Linked DNA regions of Lytechinus pictus. The protein of the gene in region 1 interacts with the protein of each later gene in a pairwise test. Links are inferred from orthologs where the notes say so. Each region holds a gene or a part of one and is shown in the gene's direction. Other genes may lie near its edges.

The links. The genes of interacting proteins can lie anywhere in the genome.
Region 2: the proteins of large ribosomal subunit protein uL10-like (region 1) and large ribosomal subunit protein P1-like interact in binary tests that used the Drosophila melanogaster proteins (3 or more experiments, as listed by UniProt). The link is inferred for Lytechinus pictus from reciprocal best matches to the Drosophila melanogaster genes RpLP0 and RpLP1.

Annotation. Positions count from the first base shown.
Region 1 is NC_087245.1:24,993,174-25,003,988, forward strand, and holds the start of large ribosomal subunit protein uL10-like, read left to right. Parts: upstream 1-5,354; 5' UTR 5,355-5,561; intron 5,562-6,647; 5' UTR 6,648-6,694; coding exon 6,695-6,748; intron 6,749-7,496; coding exon 7,497-7,672; intron 7,673-8,257; coding exon 8,258-8,345; intron 8,346-9,280; coding exon 9,281-9,427; intron 9,428-10,449; coding exon 10,450-10,558; intron 10,559-10,815. UniProt on the Drosophila melanogaster protein: Ribosomal protein P0 is the functional equivalent of E.coli protein L10.
Region 2 is NC_087252.1:20,856,501-20,867,898, forward strand, and holds the start of large ribosomal subunit protein P1-like, read left to right. Parts: upstream 1-6,203; 5' UTR 6,204-6,345; coding exon 6,346-6,426; intron 6,427-9,847; coding exon 9,848-10,037; intron 10,038-10,827; coding exon 10,828-10,884; intron 10,885-11,398. Other genes in the region: out at first protein-like, read right to left, coding at 1,942-2,119, 2,782-2,916, 5,558-5,782. UniProt on the Drosophila melanogaster protein: Plays an important role in the elongation step of protein synthesis.

The DNA of each region.
Region 1 (10,815 bases):
TTTTGTATATTCTGACCTAAAATTGTTTGCTTTCTAAGCACTATTGGTAATCATGAACAGGATGGTTATCTAACAAATTATATGCGAGCGCGAAGCGCGGGCTAAAAATTGTTGATATTCTGACCATAAATATGGAAAGTCTATAATCACTATTGGTAATCAAGAACAGGATGGGCATCTAACTATGCATTTGAGTGCAAGCGCGGGCGCCAAAGTCATGTAAAACATGAATTTGGCGCCCCCCGGTCGAACATCGAATTGGCGCCCCAAAGGTCGAATATAAATTTGGCGCCCCATCCCTAGGTTGAAAATGAATTTGGTGCCCCAGGAAAAATATCGAATTGGCGCCCCAAAGGTCATATATGAATTTGGGGCCCCCTCCCTATAGGTTGAAAAAACTTGGGCACCTAAGGCAGAACATCAATTCGGCGCCCCCCCCCCTTCCTAGGTTGAAGAGTAATTCGGCGCCCCAATGTCGAACTTCAATTGGGCGCCCCCTATTTCAAACATCAATTCGGCGCTCCCTATAATATGTCGAACACCAATTCGGCGCTCCTAGGTAGAACATAAATTTGGCGCCCCCTATATCAAACTCTAATTCAACCTATGTCGAACATGAATTCGGTGCCCCTAGGTAGAACATAAATTCAGCGCCCCTAGGTCGAACATCAATAATTTGATGCCCCTAGTTTGAACATAAATTCGGCGCCCCTTGGTAGAACATCAATTTGGTGCCCCCTATATCAAACTCTAATTCGGCGCCCCCTATATCAAACTGTAATTCGGCGCCCCTATATGTCGTACTTCATTTCGCTCCCCCTCCCTATGTCGATCCTCACTTTGGCGCCATCCTAGACCGAACATAAATTCGCCGACCCCTATATCAAACTCTAATTCGGCGCCCCTATGTGGCTATGTCGAACTTCTATTCGGCACCCCCCCCCCCTTCTTTTTCTTCTTCTCTCTTTCTTTCCCCTTTTTTTTCTCTTTCTCTTCTCCTTTTCCTCCCCTTTTCTTTCCCCTCTTTTCTTCTTCTTTTTGGCGCCCCCCTTTTCTCCTACACAGGGGGGCGGGGGCGGGCCCCGAAAGGCCCCCCACAATACACGCATGCCCAAGGAAATTCCTGGGTTTGCCGCTTCCCAGGGCCGTGGCCTCCACTGGCATTTATAGAAGCAAGTTTCATAAAGTTCATATCGAAATTAGCTATTTATGAAAGTATGAAAAGTCTCAACTTATGGCGATTAAAAATGGCGGGTTTACTTAGTAATACAACTCTTAACATAAAATTCATATGTCCTCCTTAATCGCTGAATATGCTGCTCATCTGTATAATGTCTCAATTCAACATGATGTTACGTTTTAAACGTTTTGATACTTTTACTGTACCCATTCATCGATTTTTTTTCCCCACACATTGAAAGTGTCCCGCTTTATATAAAGAAGTTATAAGACCGCTATTATATACAAAAGAATTATTCATCCTCACCTCGATTTTTGTGCCACCGATTGAATGAAACACAATTGCACAAAATTAATAACACATTATTATGGTATATACATCCTCGATATCTAAAGCTTCAAATACCTCAAATAAATAACCTGTTTATTAAGATCCAAAATGTTCAGTCTGTTAAAATGTAATTGGAATTAACACCCTCTCCTTTTGCAGGGACAGTAGAACCAGGGGGCAGGGGACACTTCCCTCCACAATGTCTCCAATAGGAAAATATTCTCTTTTTTTTTTTCAAAATGAACTTTGCACTTTGTGATGTAACACGTTCTTTAATCTGCGCATTTTCGCCCTAAAGTCGATTTTCTTTATTTGTTATTTATTTCAGATGGCGAAATATTTCTTTCTTTTTTCATTCACTTTTCTTTTTTCGCCTCTGAAGGGCCACGTATAGGCTTACAGTCACTAGCGTACCTAAGGAAGGCAGGGGGCAGACTGCCCCCCCCCCCCCCTGACGAGTCACAAGCAAAAAAAAAAGGAAGCGAAAAAAGGGGAAAAAAGAAAGAGAAAAAGGGGGAAGGGTAAAAAGAAAAAAAAAGTTTAAGAGAAAGGGGAAAACAAAAACTGGACTGCAGACTGTCGGAAAAAATTATGAACTGTCGGGAACACGGGGCTGTTCCAACTGAATCGGTTTTTTAGTTCCACCATCTTTGTCGCTAAATATAAATTAAACTGTACACTTTTATCGGTAAATTGTGATTTTTTACGAAATGCGACTTTTAGAGCGCTCTGTACCGATAGTGAGGACGGATTGGGCTGACCAGGGACAGGAAAAGGTAGAGAACAACTTTTAGGTAATATAATTATAACAATACACGCTCGCATCAATTTTTAGGTTAGATACATAAGATAAATGTCTAGTTTTCAGGTTGAAATATCAAAAATTTTCAGCTCGCACTTCGCGCTCGCGTCAATTGATTAGTTAGAAACCATTTTGTTCACGGTTACAAAAAGTGCTTATAATATCCAGTTCTTAAACCGGAATATCAAAAAATTTTGCTCGTGCTTCGCGCTCACATATATAACTGTTTAGGTATATCCATCCTGTTCATAATTAAATGAAGTGCTTAGAATGTCCGGTTTTCAGGTCGGAATATAAAAAATGAAAATATCAAAAATATATCATTAGAAACCAATTTGTTCACGGTTACAAAAATTGCTTAGAATATCAAGTTCTTAGGTCGGAATATCAAAATTTTCAGCTCGAGCTTCGCACTCGCATAATATTCCATCCTGTTCATAATGAAATGAAGTGCTAAGAATGTAAAGTTTCAGGTCGAAATATCAAAAAATTTCAGTTCGCGCTTCGCGCTCACACCAATTAATTGTTTTTAACTATCATCTCGTTCATAGTTTAAAAAAAAAAGGTGCTTAGAATAATCCAGTTTTCAGGAGGGAATATCTCAGATTTTCAGCTCGCTCTTCGCGCTCGCATAAATTAATTATTCAGTTAGAAACCAATTTGTTCATGGTTACTAAAAGTGCTTAGAATATCCAGTTCTTAAGTCGGAATAACAAGTTTTAGCTCGCGCTTCGCGCCCGCACAACTGTTTAGATACCCATCCTGTAAAACTGCTTAGAATGTCTAGTGTCCAGTTAGGAATATCAAAATTTTTAGCTCGCACAATTTATAAAGGAATATACCCTTCATATTCATAATTAAGTGCACAAAATGTATCGTTTTAGGTCTAAATTTTTAGAAAAATTCAGCTCGCGCTTCGCGCTCGCAATTATTATTTTTATAAGGCTAAATAATAAATGAAATTTGTTTCGCTCGCTCGAAAATCAAAAACTGTGAAGTTCATATTTGGGCAATGATTATAAGCCCCCCTTGAAAAAAATTGTGCCTATACGTCCATGTCTACTACCCCCCCCCCCCCCCCCACCTTGCTCATCCTTGTCGCTTGCCCCCCCTGACGAAATATGCCAGGTAAGCCACTGCTTACAGTATTTCCCCAAATTCAGACGAGCCAAAAGACAGGGGAAAAAATGAAGGAAACCGTTCGGGAGGGGGGGGTTACGGGGTGTATCCGCACCCTTGGATACGCGCCTGCAAGTGTTGCTTTTTTTACCGTCGACTGAAATCCGATCTCCCAGCTTTCATAAAATGCATCCAACATCTTCCTAAGTTCGTTTTTTCCTAAAATTAGGGGCGCCATATTGATCTTAAACTTGAGGGACGCCAAATCGCCCGGAAAGCAAGGGGGCTTCAAAAATAGTTTTAAAGTTATATAGGGACGCAAAAATAAGAGGTTGTGGAGCGTGTTTGATCATAACCTTATCCCGGAACCTTATAGTGGCGCCAAATCGATAAGTAATTAAGGTTGGGGCGCTATATTCATGATATAGATTTAAGTATTGGGGTGTCCCATTTACTCATAAGGGTTGGGCGTTGATTTCTTGTTTTCATAATATTGTCTCCGAGTGAGATCATGACTTGATCAGATTAGTGCTTAAAATGTCATCTCCAATCATTTTAGCACGAGCTTCACTTGAAAGAATATGTTTAAAAGGTCCCATTCAGGACTGCATACATGTAATGTAAAATAAGCTCGCGCTTTGCGCTCGTGTTATTTAATTAGTGAGGTCACCTATCCTCCTCGAATTTCTGCACACGATCCTTTTGCATAATCATTTTCGGGTCAGTGTGTGAAAACAATTGAATTCAGCTCGTGCTTCGCGCTTGCATTAATTGCATATTGAGACCTGCTCATGGTCCCATTTGGATGTAGGTGGAGCAATATTGTCAGCGGAGCAAATATCGGCGAAACAAATTTTACAAAAAGTGCTTAGAATATCTGATCGCCGAGATGAAAATATTTTTCCGCCCCGGGCCCCTATAGCTATTATAGCGAAAGCTGGACCCTTCCCTGATGGTAAAGAAATGTCAGCTCATCGCGCTCACATAATTTTACTACAGAGCCTACTCTGATGAGAAGTTAAAGTAAAGTAAATCCCCACAGTGCTTTAATTACGGTTTTCTGTAGTTCGCCTCTATTCTTTTCAAAAAGTGGTATATTTATATTACAACATATTCATGGATATTTTTTCATGAACAAAAGTGATCTTCGCGATTGCCCTTTTTTCACGTGGCTATGCAATGAGATAATTCAACATGCATTTAAGGCACCTATGTTTGCCTGGCGGGGCCCCCCCGCCCCCCCCCCCCCGGCATTTTCTGAAAAGTTCACAGGGGCGCAAACATTAGGTCGGGCCCCCGGGTGCAAAATCCTGGATATATATAAATGCGCCTGTTGTTATCACTGAATGAAGCCAATTAAATTGATACGTGAAACTATAAGAGATCGAGATAATTACATTTATTTATGTATTGATATGTGTATTGTGTGAGGGTGTGGATGTGTGATCACAAAAAGAAAATATGATATTAGGGGCGGATCCAGGATATTTCGAAAGGGGGGCACATTTTTCCAAGGGAAATTTAATTGACAAGAAAAATTAAAAGGTCCTCATTTTCAATGGGGGGGGGGGGCAGTGTTAGAACGACATATTTACATTTTTTTTATTATGCCTCTCAAAGGGATGATCCGCCAGCTAGTGATGATAACGTAAGTGACAGATTCAGAATTTTTAGAGACATGCATGTTGGGGGCACAATTAATAGCAAATTTGAAAAGAGATGGGGTGCGCACTATTTTTGTAAGGATAAAAGATAAAGATAACAATTTTTTCAGATTTAGCTATATTAGCATTGGGCAATTTTCAAATCGTAGAAGGGCGCACTTCCCTCTCGCCCCCCCCCCCCCCCCCCCCTCCCCCATGCACCTGGATCCGCCATTGCCACTGACACTGTTTCATCGTGCTTGCGCCTCGAGTACTTTACCCATTCGTACTTTACCCATTCTCTACCCTCATGTACCACCGTTGAGGTGTGCTTTGCTCAATGGAGTAACGTCTCTTTACATTCAACGCCCATACTGATTTTCGCTGCTCCATCTGTGACTCGGTGGAGTATGGTCGCGTACACGAGCAAAGCACGTGTACTAGTTACCAGCCAAATCTGTCTCTTTCGTTATCTTCATCTGAAATTGTAAGAATGTGGAAATGATAACCCTCTAGAAATTGACTTAAATTACTATTTTCTGAATGCAAATTGTGTGAAATGAGCGATAATTGTGATGTATGAAGATTGAAATTTCCGATTTAAATATCTGAAGGGGGAGATGATGTGTAATAAAATGATAACGAGTCATTTTGAAAAAAGTCGAAAGAATTTGTGAAATGAACAATCGTGTAGGTAGCGTTCGCTGCGTGTGGACGTGTGTGCGTGTATCATGCTGATGAGAGCTGTCTGGCTGTGGACAGTGCAGTGTGGTTCACGAATAGTTGCTAAGTTATTGTGCAACTGCAAGTGCAACATGTGGGTTCTTTGGGAAATGGGAATAGACACAAATAATAGCATTGGCCCTTGCTGTTGAATGCAAAGTTAAATTGCAATTTATGTCTGAATGTGATGATGAATGATTGTTGGCATGATTACACTGTAATTTACAGATTAGGCTGACTGGGGCCTGGGCTGAGCCGAGTCTGAGAGTGAGAATAGTGAGTGATTGAGAAATTTGTGAATTTGACAGTCGATGCAATGCATGCCGTGTTTTAAGGTTTATCGCTTATCAGAACCGCAATGCGTTATGGGATCGAAAAGGGGGCCGTTAGCGCACTGCGGACAGTCAGTGCACAGATATAGCTAGCTAGCTAACGGCCCCTTTTCGATCCAGGCTATGATGCATTGCGGTTCTGATGAGCGATGAACCTTATTGCCTTGGCCATGCCCATGCCTTGGGAGATTCATGAATGACATTTATTTAGATCTAGACCTATTTGTAATTGCAATTTTTTTTTGTATGTGCATCAGAGAGAAGGGGAATTTAGATTCAAAAGTTAAAATATTAACGTTAATTAAAGAAGATCAGCTGCAGTACGTAGTCTAGTCTGAAATCCTTTCATGTGAATAACTGTCTTCAGTAGTTTCTAATTTGTTTAATTTTTTTTTAAATGGCCAACATTTTTAGGTTCTTTTATTGTGATTTTATTTGTAAAAAAAAATTAAAAAGTTACTAATTTATCTATATCTCATTTTTATTTTTCTCCCCTATTTTCCACTGGTTGGTTCCAGTTTGTCTTGTCTTTAAATCAGCTTCGGCGATCCTTGAGTCACACAAGATGGTCAGGGAAGACAAGACCACATGGAAGTCCAACTACTTCGTCAAACTCATTGTAAGCGTGAGCCTAGTGCTATCCCAATATTACAGCACTTGAAAATACTATCCACATTTGATAATTCAAGCATTTCACAATACATGGCCACCAATGTTCGACATTAGCATTGGAGGCCTACTTTTCTTTCCACTTTGGGCCAGTGTTTTCCTAGAAAGCACATGCTGTGAATGACAATGGAAAATGAAAGAAATCCCAGGTTCAGAAAAGAATAGGGATTGATCAGGCGAACTGGCCCAGTGAGATCCCTGAAAATTGTACTTAATTGAATTTTGTTGTAATCATTCAGAATAGAAGAGAGATTTGCAATGGCATGAAGTAAGTGTATTGTGCCAACCAATCTCTTGGAAATATGTGTAACTTAACAGCATAAAAGGCAAAGTGGATGAAATGCTTGAATTGTCATTTGATTAGCTGTTCGAAATATAAAATGAGAAATTTAGAGAAATGTTTATATGATCTGTTGGGAATAAAGTTCAATTTATAAGTTTGAATTTCTATGGACCAATTTGAATTTGATATTTGTGGTTTACATATTGTATTTATTTGTGGGGGAGGTCATTGTAGGGTAAAATTGATTTTGAACCCTCCATTAATTGCTTGGATCTACCCTTTTGTACATGTATTTGAGAAGATTCTAACAAATTATTATTTTGAAATGAGCCCTTCATTTTTTTGAAGTTGCAAAATGTCAGACACAATAAAAATTCTGGTGAAAAATACATTTCATGCTCTTTCTCCTTTTCAGGAAAACTTAAATGAGTTTCCCAAGTGCTTCATCGTCGGTGTTGACAATGTCGGCTCCAAGCAGATGCAGGCTATCCGTTCCTCTCTACGAGGACATGGTGTTGTCCTCATGGGCAAGAACACCATGATCCGCAAGGCCATCAGAGGACACTTGGAGAAAGATCCTGGCCTAGAGAAGTAGGTTCATACAGGTTTAGTTCCTTAAAAAAAACAGCAAAAGAAAAACAAGCAACTTAAAAGAAAAAAATGCAGGAAAACTTGATAATTTTTTACTATTGTAAAAACCTTTTTTAAGATTAGTTTTACAGTGACTGATTAGAAAACCTGAAAAAAAGTTAATATTCATTAGACATTTTCTTACTGGGTTTGCTGAGATTACAATTGAAATCATGTTATAATGAGGGATGAAAATGAAAAAGTTAATGAAGAAGATTGACCAGGAAATCCCATGTTCTATAGGGTTTACTAGGCCAGTTAATGAGGTTACATCAATGCTTTTTAACAGGTTTTAAGTTGTGGTGGTTTTTGGCAAGTGGGAGGAAAGATACTGTCTTTGTAGTAGACACTTCAAACAAATGCTTACCAGAAAGGGGATTAACACAATGTGTTGTGCAGGGAGTGTTGGAAGAGCTGGTTATATAAAATGAAGTGGCTACCAAGCTTTCCTTCCCTTGGTACAGTTAATGGTTATCCATATATGTCTTTTGTTAGTCAATATGTTTTAAGCATCTTTCTCCCCGTGCTTCTTTTTTTTTTCTGCAGACTCCTTCCTCACATGAAGGGCAATGTTGGTTTTGTGTTCACCAAGGGAGATTTGTTGGAAGTTCGAGAGTTGATCCTTGCCAACAAGGTAAACACACCCTACAAAAATATGTTCAGGGAGGGGATGGGGGATGTGCTTGAGTAATTATTTTAGGGTCAACTTGATGAATTGGTAATATTTGGCTTTTGGGGAGTGTGTTTTGGTTATTATTGGGGTTGGTGCCATGTTTTATGATCATGATGACATAAGGGCACGTTGCCAGTGCGATGCATAAAGTGCCATCAGAGCCAGAAATGGCTGAACCCACTGAAGGCCCGCATCCCACGTTGACCAAAAAAACAAGCCCTTATTAACACGTCTGAATCATAAAAGAATGATGCCACTTACCTCTATAGTAGACCTTCCTAGGCCAAGGCCTATATTTCAAATTTGTTGACATTTGGGATAATTTTATGAAAATTTGCTTTTCATTGATGCCAATCAGTTGGTATATTGCTACGTGTGATTATTAAATAATGTTATAACACCTTTAATAAGCACAAAGTTTCAAAGCACAGCCCATCTTTAAAATGCTCCATGGTTGTTGCTAGAAAAGATGTTGTTTGAGCTATATATATATGAATAGTATACTTTGATCTATCAGATTTGATTTAACTTAGATGAGCTGCAAATATGATATTGAGTATGGATTGAATTCAAAGTGAATCCAAAATGTAAAAACCTGCCAAATGGGAAGTATGGCCATGAATTTTGAGCTTGCCTATTTTGTGTTACATCACCCAAATCTAATGAAAGCACATTGTTATCAAGCAAGATTTTTTTCTCTCCTGTCACTATATAAAAACAAATCGCCTCCTGCCCCCTTTGCATTAATCTTATAAGAACAGTTGCAGCTGCATTGTCAGGAGGAACATTGTACTGGTAAGCTAAACATTTAAATGGCTATTGTGATTTTTCTTTTTTTTACAAATAGCTTCCTATAAATGTATGTTTACACTTGTCCACAATGTTGTCTTGAACAGGTTGCTGCCCCAGCCAAGGCCGGTGCTCTTGCACCCATCGATGTGTTCATTGATGGCCACAACACTGGTTTGGGACCCGAGAAGACCTCCTTCTTCCAGGCTCTCTCCATCGCCACCAAGATCGCCAGGGGAACCATTGAAATCTTGGTAAGAATCTGGTCTCTTCATGTTGATTATCGAGAAGGAGAAAAGGATATTAATAGGATCAAGGCATAAATTTGAAGAGATGGGGGGGGGGTCCAAAGTAGGCAATCTCCATCAAAGAGTCGAGTATTTACTTGAGGTAACTGGTAATGATGATCTGAGGGCATGTTGCCAGTGCGATGCATAAAGTGCCATCAGAGCCAGAAATGGCTGAACCCACTGAAGGCCAGCATCCCACGTTGACCAAAAACCAGCCCCTGATAATGTGTCTGAGCCAGTTTCCTTTGTTGACAAGAGCCTTTCTGAAATGGAGCAGCCAAGTTCATTGTAGAATTTCTTTGTCATTGTAGTACATAGTTTGCTATTTCAGAGGAATGTTAGTGTGGTCTTTATACACGATTACCAACAGATTTTAAACAAGTTCTCTTTTTCCCTTCCAATGGAATGGACTCGGATGCCCTTGTCTGTGCTCCTGCGACATTTGCTCCAATCGTAATTTATCAGAGGGCACAGGGTTCGAGTTCGGATTGTAATAGTTTTTGGTTTAGAATAATGTACAGATAAATAATAGGTTTATGTAGTCATGGAGGTTCGGTTTTATGTTTGGCATATCATGCAAACTTCCCAGCAATTGTTGCTGAAACAATGACATGGAACCGTGTTACTTGATGAGTGTAATCAATTGTTCAGTTCTTTAGTTCTGGGCCCGTCAAAGAGTTACTATCGATCCAATCAATCGTAACTCTATGGAAATCCATCAGTGTCATAATTTCTTCTACAGGAAATTTGTAAAGAAATGTCCTTTGTAAACAAAGGAGAACACACCAAATTGTCAAGAAATAAATGAATTTATAGATATACATTCATATCTAGAAAAAATTTTGAACAAACATGGCATTTTATATGTTGACGTTGCTGGCCGTCCATAGTTGCAATTGATCGGATCAATCTCAACTCTTTGTAAGATGGGGCCCAGAAATATAGTGTTATTCACTTTGTTATTGAATATGTATTTTGTCCTACAGAACAAGGTACATCTGATCAAGAAGGATGAGAAGGTAGGAGCTTCTGAGGCTACCCTGCTTCAGATGTTGAAGATCTTCCCATTTTCATATGGTCTCCAGATTCGCCAAGGTGAGTCTTCAGGGATTCCCTACTACTACTCAAATAACATGCTTGTTATTCAATGCCTGAAACAAGTTGAAGTTCTTCTGAATTCATTTAGTGCTTTATTCGCATCTAATAGAATGAAATCAATATTCTATGGATTTCTATTCAGATCGTTATTTGTTTTTTGTTATAAACTAGCTTTTAGAGGATATTATAGTGAAATCTGTTTGTAGCTTTGTTAATTGCCTCTTATTTGCAATGTAGGTATAGCTTTATTGTAC
Region 2 (11,398 bases), on another chromosome or scaffold:
ATCCATAAATTTGACAAATGGTATTCCTTGCAGTACAGTGTACAATGTAGCTGCTGAAATTACATGTACATTGTACAAAATACATTTTCCTATTAACCTATACTCACTGACCGCACAAAAACGTTGTTAGCGCTAACATTTCACTAACAGAGGCCCTGTTACAACCGGTAATGTGGCAGCGATGCTTAACGTTACAACAATGCATTACTTTGATACACATTGAAATAAATGTTTTGACTTCACAAATCCAAAGATGTGACTGGGCTTACTGTTAGCGCTCTGTAATAGGCTAACAACGTTTCTGTGTGGCCGGCAATGATTGTTATTCCCTCTGTGTACGTACATGTATGTACATTTCATGTCCTGAGTCATAACGTAATCACTGGTTCCAGTTAAATGGTGCACTGACCCTATTCTAGTTTCACAAGTCTAATGATCAAAAGCGGTGTGAATTTTTTATCACATGAAAAGCATGTATGGGGGGGGGGGCTTTGAAACGTACTGTACACATGTATTCTGAAAATAAAACATAATAAAATAATCTGAAATTTACAGTGAATTAGAATTCATCACAGACCAAATCAGTATGACACTCCCATTTTTAATTGCTAATAGAGAAAAATATAGAAAATTTGAGGGAAAAGCTGTTGTGTGAGTATCATTTCATTCTGGAGGGCCAATACAATAGGAGTTATTTCTCCAAAGTAGACCTCGAGCATCTTGATGCATAAAACATTTTGGCATTTGGGCTTGTTTTCAGACGGAAAGCTGAGAAAGTAACATTCATCCTGCAATGTGACTTCACGTCTTTGTTTTTTTAATGAAAAATATATATTTTGATGTGGTAGCAACTATGGACACACATGATTATGGATGTTGTTTTTTTCAGTATCCCCCCCCCCCCCTCAACAATTGGTCATTTTTTCACTGAGAACATTTCGTAGCCAGACCCCGGCAGTTGACAAACAAGCTTCTAAAAGCAACAATTACTAAGAAATTGAAATTAAAACAAATAATTTTCTACTTTTATTCAACTGCTGTGTATTCATGTGCATTCATTTCACATTATGCAGAACTTTCAATTTCATTTGGGGATAGAAATCAATGGATGTATGAGAACAAAAAATATAATAAGAGATATATTATTAAGTCATAAATCAGAAAAGGAATCAACTGAAAGGGGAGAAAAGCTACTTAAAGGTCAAGTCCACCCCAGAAAATTGTTAATTTGAATAAATAGAGATAAATCAAACAAGCATAATGCTAAAAATTTGATCAAAATCGGATGTAAAATAAGCAAGTTATGACATTTTAAAGTTTCGCTTACTTTTCACACGACAGTTATATGAACTCAGTGACAAACAAATGAAAAAGTCGATGATGTCCATCACTCACTATTTCTTTTGTTTTTTATTGTTTGAATCATACAATATTTCAATTTTTACCAATTTGACATCAAGGACCAACTTAACTGAACCATAAAATGTTATAACAATGGTAATGCCATATCTTCAGGGAGGAATAAAACGTAGTTTCACAGGACAATGAGGAGAAAATTTGAATATTTCAGATTTCATATTATAAAATACAAAAGAAATAGTGAGTGAGTGATGTCATCAGTCCCCTCATTTGCATACCTACCAGGATGTGCACATAACTGTTTTGTGAAATTAAGCGAAACTTTAAAATGTCATAACTTTCTAATATTTTACATCCGATTTTGATGAAATTTTCAGTGCTTATGTTTGTTAGATTTTTCTCTTTTTATAAAAATCAATTTTTTGTTGGGGTGCTGGACTTGTCCTTTAAGAAGAGATGATTATCTAATATGAAGAGACACCCATATAATGGATAAAAAGCTACTAAACGATTATGAATTTAAACTAAACTACGAATCGGGGACAAAAGCAGATTCAGAATGAGAATCAATGGAATACATACCTTTCGACCATCCCTTGATGTCTGCTGTACGAGTGTACACCCTCTCCTTGGCTTCCATGCATGTGTTGTAGATATGAGGGCTGATCCTGGCCGATCGTTCGAGGCTGACGGACATGTCAAAGGTCAAAGACTCCTTGCCTTTGTCTTCTTCCGGGTTGCGGATGGTTCCGGGATTTTTCTACAAAAAAGTAGCAGCAGTAGAGAGAGAGAGAGAGTCAAATTATACTTTTTTTTTTTTCTGTGCTTCTTTATGAGATCTTACAGCTAAAATTTGCTACATTTTATTATTTTTTTTTTTACATTTTACACTGGACCCTGTGAGAATTTCAGGGCTCTTATTTTAGATTTTCAGGGATTTGTGCCTTTTGTGGGGTACGATGCCCCCCCCCCCCCCCCTTTGATAAAATTTTTTGTAAGTGCAAAGTGTTTGTTGGGAGGTGGGGCTTGTCGAATTATGATGTAGAATGACCATCCTTCGGAATCGAAGACCTTTTTTCTGGACAAAAATGCCCCCCCCCCCCTTTCGAAAATCCTGGATCTTTATTGCCTTGCTACTAATGTGTTACATCAATTACAAGTTTCAAATTACTGAACTAAAGTTAAAATTCTGCGGTCTTCATTAATGGCGTACTTATGAGGGGGCGGCCACATTTGTCATTAAAGATGTTTGGAGATAACAACTACACATTTTCATGTGTACAATGGTCATTTTTTTAAATAATGAAAGTATAACAACAATTTTAATGAATTTTAGAAACATGTATACAGTATGTAAAAGTTTACATTTGACGATTTGAATCATTTTGATGTTTTATTTTAGGTCTAACTTTGGTGTTTTACCTGTCTCAGTTTAGACATGGCATCTGATGAGATGAATTCTGACTTGCTGAATTTGGTCACAAAGCACATGATGTGATACTGACTCTCTAGCCTCTCCTCCTCTCCTAAGACAATGGTTTTAAAGATGCGTACTTCCTAAGAGAGGAATACATGTAAGAGATGAAAAATAGAACAAAAACTGGTATTACAGAATTATCATCAAACTAATGTATCCGAGCTATTTCGGAGGAGTTTTATAAAAATTTTCTGATTTTTTTGTTGTCTTACCGGTATACCACAGCACAAGACGCAAATATATCAGAGGATATGCCTCTAAAAAGCCTCTTGTAGCTTGGCAAAGAACAAAGAGAACAAGATGGCGACGTAAACATCGGCAAGCTTTTTTCCGTCTTCTCAAAATGTTTTTCTCGGTTTTTTTATGAATTCTTGTTTAAAAATGAAATCAACATCATATAAATGTCGGAAATGAAATTATATCCCATTTACATTTTAGGGCTAGCCTAGGCCTACATGTAGATCGTTTAAGTTAGAAGGAAAGTAAAAATCTCGGGGACGAAAAATTTCAGTTTTTTTCACAGTACCGTACACGCACATGAATGGGACGCAATCCCTGGCTCAGTGGAGAGTAAGCACACGTTAGTTAATGATTTTTTACTCTCTAGAAGCCTCCTGGCTAAGCAACACTGAGTACTCTGGGTGATTTCAAGTACGGTGTTCGGTGTTGGTGTTGAGAGCATGAAAACTGAAAAGACTGCTGAACCGAGCTCGAACACCGAGCTGAGTTCAGAGGAGCGATACCGATCGTGTAGCGATAGCCTATGACATCACGCCTCTGCACTGCACTGCTGATCATCTCAACTTTATGTGAGAAATTCTCCACGACGAAAGTGAAATCGGGAAGAAATTGCAAGAAAATCTTATCGTACAGAATGCAAAGGTTAAAATCACTGCAAGGAATCAGAAAGCATAAATATTACTTTTCATTAAAATGTATAAAACTCTTAATGATTTGCGCTCATCTTAACTAAAACTAAAGTAAAAGATAATTTTACAAGGATGTTTCGTCGTGTTCGCCGCCTGTTCGTGAGCTACATCATACATGTACAGTATACAGTTCATCACATCAACATCAACACCAACTTGAAATCATGATTTTCCTAATTTAACACCAGCTGTAAAATTACACTGTAACGCTCGGTTCAGCAGACGACATTCAACACCAGCGCTCAACAAGAACTGCCGGAAATGCGTCATATTTTCCGAGGTCAATCCCAACACCAGCGTGATTTCAAGTACGGTGTTGTTGTGTTGTCACAATTTGTGACTTAACCAACACAATTTCAACACCGTAATTGAAATCACCCACTCACTGGAGTGTCAGTGATCAGTGACTGAGCGAGATCATTTTATTGAGCTCAAGGGAGGTTGATATTGATCCACCATTTAATTTAAAGGAGAATGAAACTCTTGGAGCAAGTTAGCTTTTGTGAAAGCAGAAAAATCAAAGAATAAGATCAACAAAACTTTGAGTAAAATAGGACTAGCAATAAAAGAGTTATGAGCATTTGAATGTCGAGATCACTAATGCTATGGAGATCCTCCCATTGGCAATGCGACCAAGATCTGTGATGTCACACACGTACAACTCTCCCATTCGGACACTGAAAATATACCCCAAAACATCTCTTTTTGCTCATTCTTATCATATGACAAACGATTCATCAATTAATGATATAATGTTGTGAAACCTCTGTACTTGTCATCTCATAAAGAAAACACCTAACCTTGTGATAGACTCTATAAAAGTGAGAATATAAGTGAAATAAGTACTAAAGTAATGACGGAGTTGTACGTGTGTGATATCACAGATCTTGGTCGCATTGCCGATGGGAGGATCTACATGGCACTAGTGATCTCAATATTCAAATGCTCATAACTTTCTTATTATTCATTCAATCTTCCTCAAACTTTCAACAATATGTTTCTTTGATTTTTCTCTTTGATATGGATTCAGCTAGTTTCAAGGGTTTCATTCTCCTTTAAATCATTTTTATTTATTCATCATCATCATCATCTGATACGGGAGTGAGATAATGCCTTCCTGTAAATCTCCCGGTCGTCAACGATCACGACTTCTAACAGTAGAGGCGCACGGCCAATATGGGAGACTCTCTCCAATAGGGGAGACAATCTCCCACATTGGAGACAATCTCCCACATTGGACTCTTTGGAGACTTGTCTTGCAAAAGGACAAAAGAAACAACACCAACAAAAGCATGATTTTTTTTCCACCCAAAATTTTGTCTCACTGGACTGAGGTCAGAAGCCCATTTGACTTGTTTTGTGTGTGATTGACAACTTAAATCCTTGACAAAACAAAAGTAGACGGTGAATTTTTAATTAAAGTAGACGGTGAAAAGGGGTAATTTTTCATGAGGAATATCTGCTTATCACATTTTTATTTTCCGCCAAGGTAATCCTTTTGCAGCAAATGTAAACAAAGAAAATTGGTCTCCAAAACTGGAGACTGTCTCTGAAATTGGATACCCAAATTCTTTACAAAAGTCTCTGATATTGGAGACAGTCTCCAGTCCAAGTCCAATTAAAATATTGGCCGTGCGCCTCTACTTACTCTAAGTTCTACTCTTTAATACGTGGTTTGTGAGACTGGATCAACTGTGTTACAGTGTATATACAACGGTTTAATGCCTATGATGACTCTAAACTTAAAATCTACCCAATCCATCCAGCAAGCATTTTTTTTTGCTTCACTTACCGATTTGAAATCAATGACCATTTTCACAAGTGTGCCATCAAGCTTTTGAAACTGCAAATAAATCACATCGCGTTTGACATCAGCGTTTATACTCTCTTGAACAAGGTCACCACCGTCGTTTTTCACGTTGATTACCAGTTGACACATAACTCTGTGATTCAACATACAAAATAAAGCAATTAGTCCCCAAAGGAACCCCATTAAATTGAAATAATATCGCAACATTTTAGAGTGTTCGTTTCTCCTTCCACAGCCCAAATACAGCCATAATTCACATTAGCAGAGCGCGCGCGCGCGCTATGGGAAAACAGTGTAAAGCCGTATCCTGGTATCAGCCTACCTTTATCGCGCCGGACTTCTAGGGGATCAGACGATTGTAGTTCCGTTAGCCACGAAACTTGGGGCCATTAACATTACGCACGGATGACAGGAATAATCCACTTTTGTAAAAGTTAAATGTGCTGAAATAATTCTTATACATATATCAAAATAACATCTCTCGATATCAGATTCGATTAGTAAAATAAAGGATTTTTATAATATATTTGATCTGAAGATACTGTTTAAAAAAACAATTACAATCGACTTTTAAATGTTTTTTTAAATAAAAAATAAAAAGATCCCACCCAAAATTAATGAACTTGTCCTTTCCACAGACCTCTTGCAACACGGATAGAAACAAGGTGCACAGTTCTCTATCGAGCTAAGGCCAAAATCGGCGACGTGTACCATTTTTCTTTGCCATCAAGTACTGATTTCCCAAGAAATCAAGCCACTAAATATCAAAGATGTCTTCTGAGGACAATACTTCTGAGCTTGCCTGCGTTTACAGCGCTCTTATCCTCCAAGATGATGAGGTCCCAATCACGGTAATACTTCCCCCATAGTGTGTGCCCATGTATAAAGTTTTGTGTAATGTCCGCGAAGCTAAAAGTTTAAAACCTTCAGCATGGCTTATATAAGTTAATTGCAGATTACACCCCATAAAGTTGAATGGGTAGACACTTTCTATTTGGCAAGTATGCCTTGTTCGAAAAGTGGTGGGTGGGGTGTATCCTTAATATACGTATTCTGCACTTGTCATGGACATGGCTAGGCTCCATGCGTGTTGCCAATCAATGGCAATGCCATGGCCATGCCCATGTTACTACAACTTATTATAAAATAGCTGTATTATTTCAAGCATCGCGATTGGTCAATACGCGTCACATGACATCCAACTTTTTTTGTGCACTGCACGGTAGTGCAAAAGGTGTGCAACGAAAATTGACATTGCACGCTCGAGCAAACCAGTGCGGTAAAGTCCAACAAAACTGTACTGTAAGTTTTTTAAAAATTGTTTCTGTGTTGCTATTTCATAAAACAAATAATGCACTTGCTCTGTCTTGCATAAAACTTAAAAGTAAATGCAGAGAAAGCTCGGTTTCTTCAGATGGAGCACACTGGGCACTCGCCGCAAGCGGCTCGTGCACAGTGCGACTCCTATCTAAAGAAACCTCGCGTGCTCTGCATTTCCACTAACGCACTCGGCTGCATGCATTATTTGTATACTATTTACATCGTTGGCTGTTAAACGTTATTCGTTAATGTTGCTGATGAAGAACGCATAAAAGATTATTCTTAATCTTAGTCTCAGATGGTCCAGTATGGCAGTAAAAACTGTAGGCCTACTAAAAAAGTAAAAGTTGGACTCAATGTCTCAATCCAATTTTGATATGTTTGAACTTTGTTGAATGAGTCTGTTTTCTGTGGTGTGCAGGTGTGAATATGGAATGCCTGAAAGTTTGTGTGATGATGTACAATAATTCAACAGTTGGGGTAGAGAAACTAGCCCGAATTTTAAATGTCAATTTGTCTAACTTATTTCACAGGCCATGCAGCACAGACCCAGTCCAAAAAAAAAGAAGAAAAAAAGAAAGATTAACAGAAAAGAAATAATGAGAAGGAAAAAAAAGGATGAAGGGAAAGAAGCTTTTTCATTTCATCCTCTCAATTCAAAGAAGGCTCCAAATTAAAGCAGTGGCAAAAAGAGTCAATTTTTTTACTGGTGTCCAACACCACAAGACAGAAGGAGAATCACCACAGGAGCCTCAGGAGGAAAGTCCAGATTTCAACTCCAAAACCAAAATCCCCTTTGAAAAGTTGGCAAATGTTGCCCTACAAATACAGAATCTGTGCCGCATTTCCAGGGCAAGCAGCAGCTTAGCTCAGTCAGATATAAGAAGCGGGGTCGCCAAGAAATGCACTGAAAATGATGAAATCTGTGGTTCCAAATTTTTAATGTTCCCACAAATTTAGAATATCTTGTATCTTCTAAATGATATAAGAAAAAAATATGAACCCCAGAAAAGCTCAACCGCATTGAATCTGCACCGAAATCAAATCTACGGCATGCTAGTGGGTTGCCTTCATAGTTCCACAGGGGTTCTGCATGTAATGTGGGCTGAATGGCCACTGCAACTTCTGGGGGTTGCATACCGTATCGCGTGCGGCTCTTGCACACACTGTCAAAGTGGGGTACTGGCGAATCACAGCCGCAAAACATGGAGATACATTGTCAGTAGAGGCGCACGGCCAATATTGGAGACTATACTATCTCCAATGTGGGAGATTATCTCCAATATCAGAGACTTTTGTAAAGAATTTTGGTATCCAATTTTAGAGACAGTCTCCAGTTTTGGAGTCCAATTTCCTTTGTTTACATTTGCTGCAAAACAATTACCTTGGCGGCAAATAAAAATGTGATAAGCAGATTTCTCATTAAAAATTACCCCTTTTCACTGTCTACTTTAAAAATTCACAGTCTACTTTTGTTTTGATAAGGATTTTTGTTGTCAATCACACACAGAACAAATGGGCTTCTGACCTCAGTGAGACAAAATTTTGGGTGGAAAAAATCATGTTTTTGTTGGTGTTTCTTTTGTCCTTTTGCAAAGCAAGTCTCCAATGTGGGAGATTGTCTCCCCTATTGGAGAGAGTCTCCCATATTGGCCTTGTGCCTCTACTGATTGTATCAGGGAATTCTCTGTTTCCATTGTTAGATTTGTATGAAATATTGAGGTGGAAGTTGAAAATAAAATTGCTTTGAAAGTAGACAAATATATTCAACAAACATTGATACAAAATTTCATTTTGTGAAAAGACATGTAAGATAAAAAAAAAATGTTGCAGAAAATCTAAACATGCCAGTCGAAATTTGGGCAACAAATGAGTCTAAGAAACCGGCTCATGGGGGGGGGGGGGGGGGCATCATATGGCATGATAACAGTTGTAGATCAAAGGAGAGTTGAGTATAAAATTAAAAGAGGGAGGAAAGTGGAGAATCTGCAGTGTGAGCTAATTTCCAAGGCAGAAAGGATAAGAAAGAACTTTTAGGGGGATAAAAACAAGATGCTATGAGAGAAAGTAGAATTTATAGTGTTAATCGATCCAAGGTGAAATCTTGGTGGTTTTTGGCCAAAGATGGTTCCAAATGGTTTCAGAGTGATAATTGTTTACCTTGGATAGATCTACAAATTATACACGAATCATTTGTACACTACAATAAAACACTGTAAAGTGAGTGGATGAACTATGCTGAAAGTCAAAATGTCCTAACTTTGCTTTCATAAAATCTAATGAATTATACATGCATATCATATGAAAGAGAATAGTGTAGCCTTCGTTTTCCACCTCAGTAACAGTTATACATGAATGATAGTGATAGTCATTGACATTTAGTGAGATAGTGCATATTTTCATACCTTTCTGTGATCATTGAAGCGTAACTAACAATGCTTCAATAATCACAACTTATTATTTATTTTTTCTGAGAGTCGAGAGGATATGCTTTAATTTCATATAAAGTTTGGATCCTTTGCTATTTTTACAGGAAATGAAATATGAAAATGAATCTAATAACATCTTGGTACAAAAGTCAATGAGGTGACACCAGTCAGATATTCATTCGTTTTTAAATCGTTTGCGAAATGCGTGATGATTGAAATATTAGGAACTGTATATCAACTGAAATGTTGCTCGCTACATGTATGTTTGAAAAATTTGCAAATGATTTTCGACCAATGCACAGACCCCCCCCCCCCCATCTTGTGCCTTCCCTCTCTTGTCTCTATCTTCCTCTTTCTCACTCCCTCCCCCCCCCCCCCCCCCCGCCCCAAAGCCTTTTCTTTCAACTTCAAGCTGTCCTAAAGTCAGATACATTAACTGGCATCCTTGGATTGACCGACTCTGATCCATTTTTAAATGTTGATCTTCATTTGTTTGTATTGTTATTGAATTCTCTGTCCATAGGCCGACAAACTTCAAACCTTGATCAAGGCTGCTGGAGTTAATGTGGAACCGTACTGGTGCAGCCTCTTTGCCAAGGCTCTGTCAAGCGTTGACTTGTCTACCCTCATCGCCAACGTAGGAGCCGGTGGTGGCGGTGGTGGAGCTGCTGCTGCCCCAGCTGGAGATGCTGGTGGCGAGGCTCCCGCCGAAGGTAAGTCCGGGTACTCTTTCTCAAATTTGTAAACAGATTGTGGAAAGCTACTCAAAATTGTCCCATAGGATTGGTTGATGGCCGGGATGGTCGTATGGAAATTGTTGGTGAAGAGGAAACTGATGCCCTCTCTTCAGATGTTTGCGATGCAATTGCTGAAGGTGAACTAGGTATCTCTGTCGTAAACTTGATTGCAATAATCACAATACTCGTGCATGCCATGTCATCGGTTGATACTGATGGTAAATTTCTTCAAGAAATTTTGGTTGAACGTGGAGCTGCTAAAGCCACTTCTGAATGTGAAATAGGGTCGTCTTTCATAACACGAAGTTTCAAATGACCCTTGCAAGTCTCAGCGCTGTAACTCACTTTTATAAGATTAGGAGTGTTTCATAGTGTTTCATCTGACAAAAGACGGCTTCCAAAGTCTGTGGTTTTAATTGGCAAAGAAGCTCAAGTGTCAAACGATCCAAGTATGGATAATCTTTATTCATGTTGAATGAGCAGTGTTTATATTTACATAGGGGCAATTCCATAAAATGATCAACCTTTTTGTACATCCAACCCCCATTTTCTCAAGTCTTCACTTCGTTAACTGACCAAGCCATGGTCATTTGAGAGCATTACAGACTATCAAAAGAACCAGAAATCAGGGACAGAAAATTTTATGAAGGTCCCACATATAGGGGGTCGGACATATTTTATGGAATTGCCCATAGGTTATCATAAAATTCTCTGTATCCATTCTTGGTAACATTGTTCTATCTGCTTTGTTCTTTCCCCATTACAGAAAAGAAGGAGGAAGTGAAGGAAGAGTCCGAGGAGTCTGATGACGACATGGGTTTCGGTGAGTTCATATTCATCTTTAATCTGCCTATCTCACAGCTGATAATTGATATATTTTTTCCCCATTTAGAAGGATGTTTAATAGGAAATTGACACTGATAGATCCCCCCCCCTAAAAATTTGAATTTTAAAAATTGTAATGGAAAATAGGATTTAGGCTTGAAATTAGGATATAAAGATTTTTTTCACAAATTAAGGTTGGCAGCTCTGCTATTTGGGTATCTTCTCCGGGATTGGAAATGGATTCAAACACTTGTCAACTACCACAATAATTTTACACTTAATGTTCTATTTTCCTGTGATTTTTGGCTACTCCCCTGAATAGCCAGTAGCCTTTTACCCATATCCATGAGGCATTACTTTTTTATGTACACTTTAATAGCAAACTGCTCCCAAAGTCATGCATTGATTACATTTACATCCATTTGATTTCTGTAAATCGTAATTGAAGAATAATTTTTGCTATTCTTTATTCCACGACTCATTATTCGTGTAACAGTGTATCTTTCTTTTTT